Oryzias latipes: one gene and its partner. The protein of the gene in region 1 purifies or fractionates together with the protein of each later gene. This does not show direct contact. Links are inferred from orthologs where the notes say so. Each region holds a gene or a part of one and is shown on either strand. Other genes may lie near its edges.

The links. Proteins that work in one complex are often made in the same cells at the same time.
Region 2: the proteins of fbxw7 (region 1) and nap1l1 purify together in Homo sapiens (affinity purification with mass spectrometry, with the first as the bait; 3 studies listed by BioGRID). This does not show direct contact. The link is inferred for Oryzias latipes from reciprocal best matches to the Homo sapiens genes FBXW7 and NAP1L1.

Annotation. Positions count from the first base shown.
Region 1 is NC_019859.2:19,453,291-19,456,939, reverse strand, and holds part of fbxw7 (F-box/WD repeat-containing protein 7), read left to right. Parts: intron 1-56; 5' UTR 57-125; coding exon 126-305; intron 306-1,011; coding exon 1,012-1,545; intron 1,546-3,649. UniProt on the Homo sapiens protein: Substrate recognition component of a SCF (SKP1-CUL1-F-box protein) E3 ubiquitin-protein ligase complex which mediates the ubiquitination and subsequent proteasomal degradation of target proteins.
Region 2 is NC_019881.2:10,005,913-10,010,276, forward strand, and holds the start of nap1l1 (nucleosome assembly protein 1-like 1), read right to left. Parts: upstream 2,925-4,364; 5' UTR 2,910-2,924; coding exon 2,771-2,909; intron 771-2,770; coding exon 732-770; intron 595-731; coding exon 466-594; intron 1-465. UniProt on the Homo sapiens protein: Histone chaperone that plays a role in the nuclear import of H2A-H2B and nucleosome assembly.

The DNA of each region.
Region 1 (3,649 bases):
AAAGTAAGTAAAACCTTCAACATCTGTGTCTTTTTATTTTTTTTTTATCTTTGCAGAATGTCAAGACCTTCTCATCTTCAGACAGCCTAGCGAAGGTCCAGGAGGTAGCAAGCTGGCTTTTAGAAATGAACCAGGATCTGCTGTCGGGGGGCAGCAGCAGCAGGCGGAGTCGGGGGCCCGGGGGTCCAGCAGTGCGAGGTAACACCTCCTCTACGACCCGGGCACCCCAGCAGGCGGCAGAAGAAGCCGACGAGGATGAGCACATTAACCGGGTTGTCGAGGAGGATGAGCAGTTGCAACAGAGGGTGAGGCCAGCTCATGCTTAGGAAACATTTCCCTTTTATGTAGGGGGAAGATTATAAAAAATGTGTTGATACTTGAAAGATTTATAACTATTTTGATAATGGTGGATTAAGTTTTCCCTAACATGTTAAAAAAAAAAACGTAGGGATCCTTCTTTATGAATATGAACTCAAGGAAATGCATAACTCTTTAATTGTGTTTTCTTGGGTTGGCCTGTAAAGAAACATCTCTACACGAGAGGCCTAGACTGCAGTCAACTGTGTTTTTTTTATCTTATATTTCTCAGTTTAGTAAAATAAGTAATTAAATGAGTCGCTTTGATCTCACAGAATTCGATGGATGGCCTCACATCTAGCTCCAGAACAAAGTGATTTATATAAAGTCTTGGCAGAAGCCAGAAACGTTACCCACCCAACCTTAGGAGTTTGAGTAAACACAGCCCTTCACTGTCTTCTCAATGTGGGATCGTCTCTGCGTACAACTTTGTTCCAGAAGTGTTCTTGTTTTTTTTAGGTTCAAGTTTGCAACCTTTTTCTGTTTTGATTCACAAACTTCTTTAAAAGCAGTCTTATATTCCTTTGAACTTTAAAACTTAATTCTCTTTAGGTGGTACTCAAAATATCATCTTTAGCATTGTTTTAACATCCTATAGCCTTAGAATTGAAAGGCATTTCACATAAGCATCCGCTGTTCTTTTCCTTTTCAAAGCCCGAGGTGTCCCAGGTTGATGGTGAGAGGGAGCAGCTTTGGGAGCCCAGCGAATCAGGAGCCAGCAATGGCCCTCAGGGAAACGAGGAGGTGGAGGAAGATGAAGGAGCCCCGCCAAACGAAGTGAACGGAGACGAAAAAGGAGCCAGGTGGATGTGGGGGACCGAACACAGACAGGTGAGAGGGCAGCCACCCCTCGAAGAGGAGGAGGAAGAAGAGGAGAACAACAACAACAACAGCAGCAGCCACCAAGAGGAGGATGAAACTGAGGAGAGGACAGAGGGAGGGGATGAACAAGGAAGGGACGAGAGGGGAGAAGGAGAGGAGGAAGAGGAGGAGGATGAGGAGGAGATGGACCAAGACAGCGATGAGTTTGAACATTCAGCAGAAAGCGAAAGGGAGGAGGAAGAGGAGGAGGAGGGAGGTGAAGGGGAAGAAGAGTTGCATCCCCCCTCTTTCGCGAACAGGGTTTCTGCCCCCAACAATCAGGACTCTAGATGTAAACCCCAAAGCCCTTCCAACAAGAAGGACAAGGTAAGACATCAACAAATCCATTTGTTTCCTTTATATATGGTCTCTCTTTGTAGCTGAGAAGTGTGAACTTTGTTTGGGGAAAATCACCGTTTACAATTTGCACCAAAAGGTTTTAAAGTATTTTTGTTTGAACACATTTCCATTCACATTCATTCATAATAATAAAACATATATGTGAAACACTTAGATGGAATGACTGAAACTGAAATTCCCACTGTATACTAGATTTATAGGTGATTGGCTCCATCTTGTGGCATAAGCGATACTCCTCAACAGTTCCTACTAAGAGCGTCTATTTTACTTGAAAACTTATAACTAGGGATCATAATTACTTTACCCTACACCAGTGAGGAAATCCAAAGAAAGATACTTTCAGAGCCTTGTTACAATTGGAGTTTGTGGCTTTCAGTCTATCGTTCGATGAGTGGGCATATTCGAAGAATTACAAGTGTTGGTGATTCTCCTGCAAAATAAGCATAAAGCGACGATATTTACTGAATATAACTTAGCCTGGGGAGAAAATATCAAATATAGGTAAAGTTGTGCATTTTTCCAGTTCCAATAATAACAGTGAATTTTAAAGAAGCAGATTTGTTTTTATTCCCCTAAGATATCTGAGTCAAAGATCTTTTGAAAAGCAATGGTGGGATAATTTACATTCCTTAAATCTGTGGAATTAAGCTGATTTTAAGTTACAGTTTGTCTATTTATCTGAATAGACTTAAGTCTGAATAGACTACATTATTATTAATAGAAAGACCTGTTCTGAAAGGGATGTTTATTACACTGGCTCCTTACATGGCCTTTACAATGCTTTAATCCTTGGTTTCGAATGATATTTATGCCATTTAAAACTACTTATGCCAAAGCAGTCTGTCTATGTTGCTGTGAGTGTTTGTCACATTTCTGTGCCGTTTGTTTGCTTTGGCCCCTCTGTAGTCGTGTTTCAAGATGCAGGATTTGGCCACATAACACTTGGATGAAAGCAAGTACAAGCTTTTGGTTCTGGGAATTTTAGAAGATCCATCCCCCAGCCAACTTGACAAGCTTTACAAATATTCTCTAAAAATATTGTTATTGCAAAAAGGAACTCTGTGTCCTGTCACATGTTAATAATGTATAAAACCATCTATTTATCAGTGTTATTTTATTACAATTTGAAAAATCTTTCTAATCAATGTGTTTGAGTACAGATGTTCGATAACTTATGTTTTTAAGAGGTGTTTCAATGCTTTACTTGCAGTGTGGATGTTGCAGCCCCTTAAGCCCCACAAGGAGCCAATTGTCTGAAATCATTCACATTCCCCATCATGTTTGTTTCCGATTCATGTTTTTTTTTGTCCCTGAATCCTGACATATTTAAAGTCATTGCTTTCAATATTCTCTTGGTACGCTCACAAGAATTCAGATTTCATGTCTCATACATTTCAAGCCCAGCCACTGTAGAGGAGAAGTCAGGCCAACTTTTTAAAAATGCTTAAAAAACATATTTATCTTTATTCCAGATGTTGCATTTGCTTTTACCTTAATCAAGGAGCTGAATATCATTTTTGGGAAAGCAGGAACACACATATATGTATAAATAAATAAATAAATATATATACACATATACATGTATATATTTCTCTTATTGGGTGTTTGTATTCTATAGAACTGTCATTGTAATGTTATTCTAGACTGCAGTGTTTTTTAGGGATTACTCAATCTGAATCGATCCAAACTTAATACATCAGTAATCAATCCATAAAAGTAGAGATTGATCTTCTTTTGCCTTTCCTTTTCTGGTGACCGAACACGTAATAGCAGTAAAGCCAAAGTCTGCTAGCTTGATGCAACGTATAATGGAAGTTCCCTTCCCTTAGGACAGTTAACGCTCTGCCGACATAAATATACATTGCTGACTTAATGAACAACTTTATATACTCACAGGCATGAATATTCCAAACTCCTTTAAAGCAAAACTTTTTTAAAGGTAAATCTGTGGTGTAAAGCTCTCTTTTGTTTTCTTTGCTCAAATCTTTTGGAAGAAAGTGTAATGCTATAACGAGAGCTCCACCTAGTGGGCAAACTGAAACGCCCTCCAGTACACGCAGATCATTTACTG
Region 2 (4,364 bases), on another chromosome or scaffold:
TCCTGCGCTTCCCTGAGAGCACAAACAGCAGAAGAGGACTCAATTATTCCATGAATCCTGCAGGAGAGCTGCAGAGGTTCTCCCTGATGTTTCTCCTCATTGTTGGTGTGGAAAAAGCTAGCAAGTGCGTTTGTCATGAATGCATGACCCGCTCATCATCATGAACAATAATGACAGATCAGTCCCAGACAAACAGAACCACTCTTGAGATTCCAGCTTTGAAAGACTCTGGATCTGCAGGTGTTCTGGATGTGGCAGAACAGCTGCATCTTTCCAGGATCCATAATAATCCGATTACAACCTTGTTCAGAATGTAATGCACAAGCTCTGGCTCTCTTTAAATAACAGACTAGAAATAACATCAAAGTGCACCTCAGTGAGTCCACATTCCTTCAAAATAAAAGACTCAAATCAGTTACCAGAAAGCCAGAGGTTTTGCTGGAGCAATTTGCTGGTCAATAGTACCTTTGCTGTTTTCATTTTCCCCGGTCTCCTCCTCTTCCACCTCCTCTACATCCTCCATGTCTGCCGGGTCCATCTCAGTCTGGTCTTTACTGCTTGGAGGTGGGGGGTGGGGGGGAGACAGAGTGTTATCTATTAGGAAGGTTCAACAGCTCTCTGTCCCGAGCAAACCATCATCTACACATTCCAACAAATCCTGCAGATGATCAACCAGAAGGTCCAGGTGGCTCCCCACTCCCCACAACATGATTTGTGTCAGATCTACTCACTTGTCAATGTCTGACATGTTTGGAGAGTCTCAAGTGATGCTGGGAGGAAGCACAGGAAGAGGTTAGAAACCTGACAGCAACAAGTCCAACTAGAACGCACAACAGCACAGGAGCAGTCAGCCGAAGTTAGATCAAACTTTTGTTATAACATTTGAAACTGAAAGAAAGAATTTAACCCTTAGTAGTCTGGGACATTGACGGTTTTTTCTACTTTACAATTTACTCTTAATTTATCTTTAAATCTAATCTAATACTTAAAATTATTTTCTTATTTACTGGAAAAGGTTTGAGATCAAACAGTTTTCATGTTTTCTAACAATAAAACATGCAGAGACAAATTAAAAATGTATAAATCCAAAAACCAAGCGAAGACAAGGTCATAACTATATGAAAGATATCTTGAGAATCAGAAAAAGCTCTACTGAACTAAATGTTCTTCCAAGGAGTCTCACAATTGTGCGTCATAACTCTTATGTTTGCTTAAACACAAAAATATAAAGCTAAAAAAAGTTTGAAACGTATACATTCAATTTTGAATTAAAACCATACCGATTGAATGTAAACAGGTGATGTGATTGGAAACTCCAGTAAATTCACAGAATACAAGTGGCCTAACGTTAAATCGAATCAATTTAACCAACCAGATCGATCTGTCTGAGGTTAAGTTGTTAATCAAGTTGACATACACCACAACAACAAAAATTTTCCATATGAAGTAAATCGATAATTATTTTTGGAAAATACAATTTGGATAGCGACATGGTGCGTTTATTTTAATAAAAGTGCATCACAGCGGACAACACATGTGATGCAACACTGATCAGTCCATCATTCCAGTTCAATGTATGGAAACACTTTGGGTGAGTGAATTGGATTGTTCAAACTGAACAAAAACCCTGAATCAGATTGTCAACTAGTTATGATATGCATCTGATAGGTAAAAGGAATCCAACCCCTCTATCCACATCTGATCCCAGGTGAGCTGCATTCAGCCTTATCCAGCTGCACAGGCGAGTTCAGAGTCAGATGACACTTGTGGGGTCTGATCCTCAGATGACTCCCTGGATTAAAAATCTAGCAATGTGGAGAGTAATTCTTTTACCATAATCCAAGAGTCAATAACCTGCAACTTCAAATTTAAAATCAACGATTTAAATTCAAATTGAAAATTAGAATAAAATGTAGAATGAGATGACAGTTAAACTGAGGATTAGCTTGAACGTGTTCTGCGCAGAACCGGTGGAGAAGTTTCCTCTGGTACAGACCACGTGTTGCCGAGGTCTGACAAAGGACAATTTTCTGAAACTGCGTTTTTAAAGGAGGCCAAACGAGCCGAACCGTTAGCCTAAATCAGAACCCACGAGCGGAACATTGACCAACCAGAGCGGCTCCTGTCCCCGCGTCCGGCCGGCTCGGCTAGCTCGTGCGCCGTTAGCTTGATGCGCACTCTTCGGGGAGCAGCGAGAAAAAAAATAAAAAGACCCGCTATGACGGACGGTTCCGGTACCACACAACATGGACCGCTTTCAGAAGCGTTCCCGACGCTCCGGATCCACGTCAACACGCGTGATAATCATGCTAAAAGCTGCGTTAGCGCACTTTATTCCACAAGTCACGGTTGTAAACAACTGTTCCCCACCCTGATACCATCCTCTGAAAATAAGGTCACTCACCCCCCCCCCCCTTAAAAGCAGTGAATATAACCAGACATGTGTGGGCAAATGTCGAAAAACGACCTGCTGCGCAGGGACCGACTAACGTTTGGACAGAAAAGTGCAACAAATCCTGGCGAGACGAACAGACGGCGCATATATATACACAGCACAGTTAGCAGTTATTTTTCAGTTATTTTTATCGCGTGTAACACATCATGGAGGGGCCAGGCAATGGCTGCTGGCGTCTGCCTAACTTAGCATTAGCAATGGCAAAGCAGTCTTCCGCCGACACTTTCACTCCCATCAAGTGACAGAGCACGAATTTAACTCCCTGGACGGCGACAGGCGCGCGAGGCGCCGGCACTTGAGCCCTGTCCGCCTTACCTTCGCTGTGTGGCCGGAGACAGGACTGTGGAAACAGCGCTGCGCAGTGAGGCGGACCCGTGAAGAAAGAGACTTCGCTCTGATGGCGGTAAAAGGGAGCGAGATCCCGCCGTCTGCGCTCATATACTTGCGACGTCATCACGCAACCCGGCAGTCGCCGGGGCAACGCGGCTCATGGGAGGGGCTGAAACTGGGGTGCGGGGGGGGGGGGGGGTATGTAAAGTATATCTTTATAAACAGTCCATCAAGGCAACAAGAATTCTAAGTAAAATCATTTGAGCTCTTCCTCAGATTTCTGCATACATGTTCTTATCTGTCTCTACGGAGCCCTGGTCGGGACATTAAAAAGATGCTTCCTCAAAATAATAATTTGAGGCCACAACTTAACAAATGAACCTTTTCTTGCCACAATTTAGTTTTTGCGCAAACAAAGTACCATTTTGTGACATAAAAGTTTTAGTAGGAATTAATTACATTAAATTACTAATTTGTGCACATGAAAGGCTTATTTGGACATATAAAATTCAAATTTTTCTACACAATATTGTCATTTGTGCTCACAAAATGCAAATGCATTGCTAATTTTTGGCCATGTAATACTAATTTGTGTGCTCCAAATACTAAATTGTTGCCACAAATATTTAACTTCAGGGAATAATTTATTTACTGTTTCATGTCATGTCCAAGGTTCTGCAGTCTTCCAATCATTGTATTAATTGTTTATTATTTATTATTTTTAGATTTTAAAATTCCTCACTATTTATTTGTAATGATCCCCCCCCCCATTCCTCCAGAGAGAGAGGGGGGGGGGGCAACATTCTTAGCATCTCCGCCATTTAAACACTCAGGACGAACAGAATCATCTTCACCCATCACAGCATGCGGCTTTGCGACAACATTAATTATTGTATTGTCTTTCCTTATTCTAATGCTGTGTCCCTTTTTTTTATTTGATGTCTTAACATTGTCAAATTTCATTTGGACAAAAAATTCAGAATAAAACTTAAATTGTTCAATTTTTTTGAGTCTTGTTTTGTTTATTTCTCTAACCCCACCAATTTCTACTTCTCCTTTAGTTTTAGACCAGACTGAAAAAGTTGCTGGTGTTTTGTAGTGCAGATAAATTAGACTGAATACAATTGTAAATCATTTTAAAGTAAAAAAAAAAATAAGACTTTCAATGGACAATTTATTTGTTGTAAGAAAAAATTCCAAATATAATCCTTAAAATGCTGCCAAACTTCTCTGCTAAAGCCAAACACTATGTTTAATATGTATATTTTATATACAGTTTTATTGATGGAATTTGGCGTTCTTCAGTTTGGAGATCGGACTGAACAATCCTGTGACTTTTGCAGACATCCAACTTGAAGATCAGTTACATATGCTGACTGCAGGAGCTTTGCAATTAGGAGCTTAATTGTCTGCACCTACAGGCTCAGAAACAAGAGCCAGGAGCTGATTGGCTGTGGCAGAGAAATTCTGAAAAGGTTTATTGGTTATGAGCCAGCTCAGCTAAACAGACAGTCGAACACAAATGTCCTTGCTTTTTGTGTTTGGTTTTAGTTTGGTTTGTTTTGTGTCCTTGTCCTGT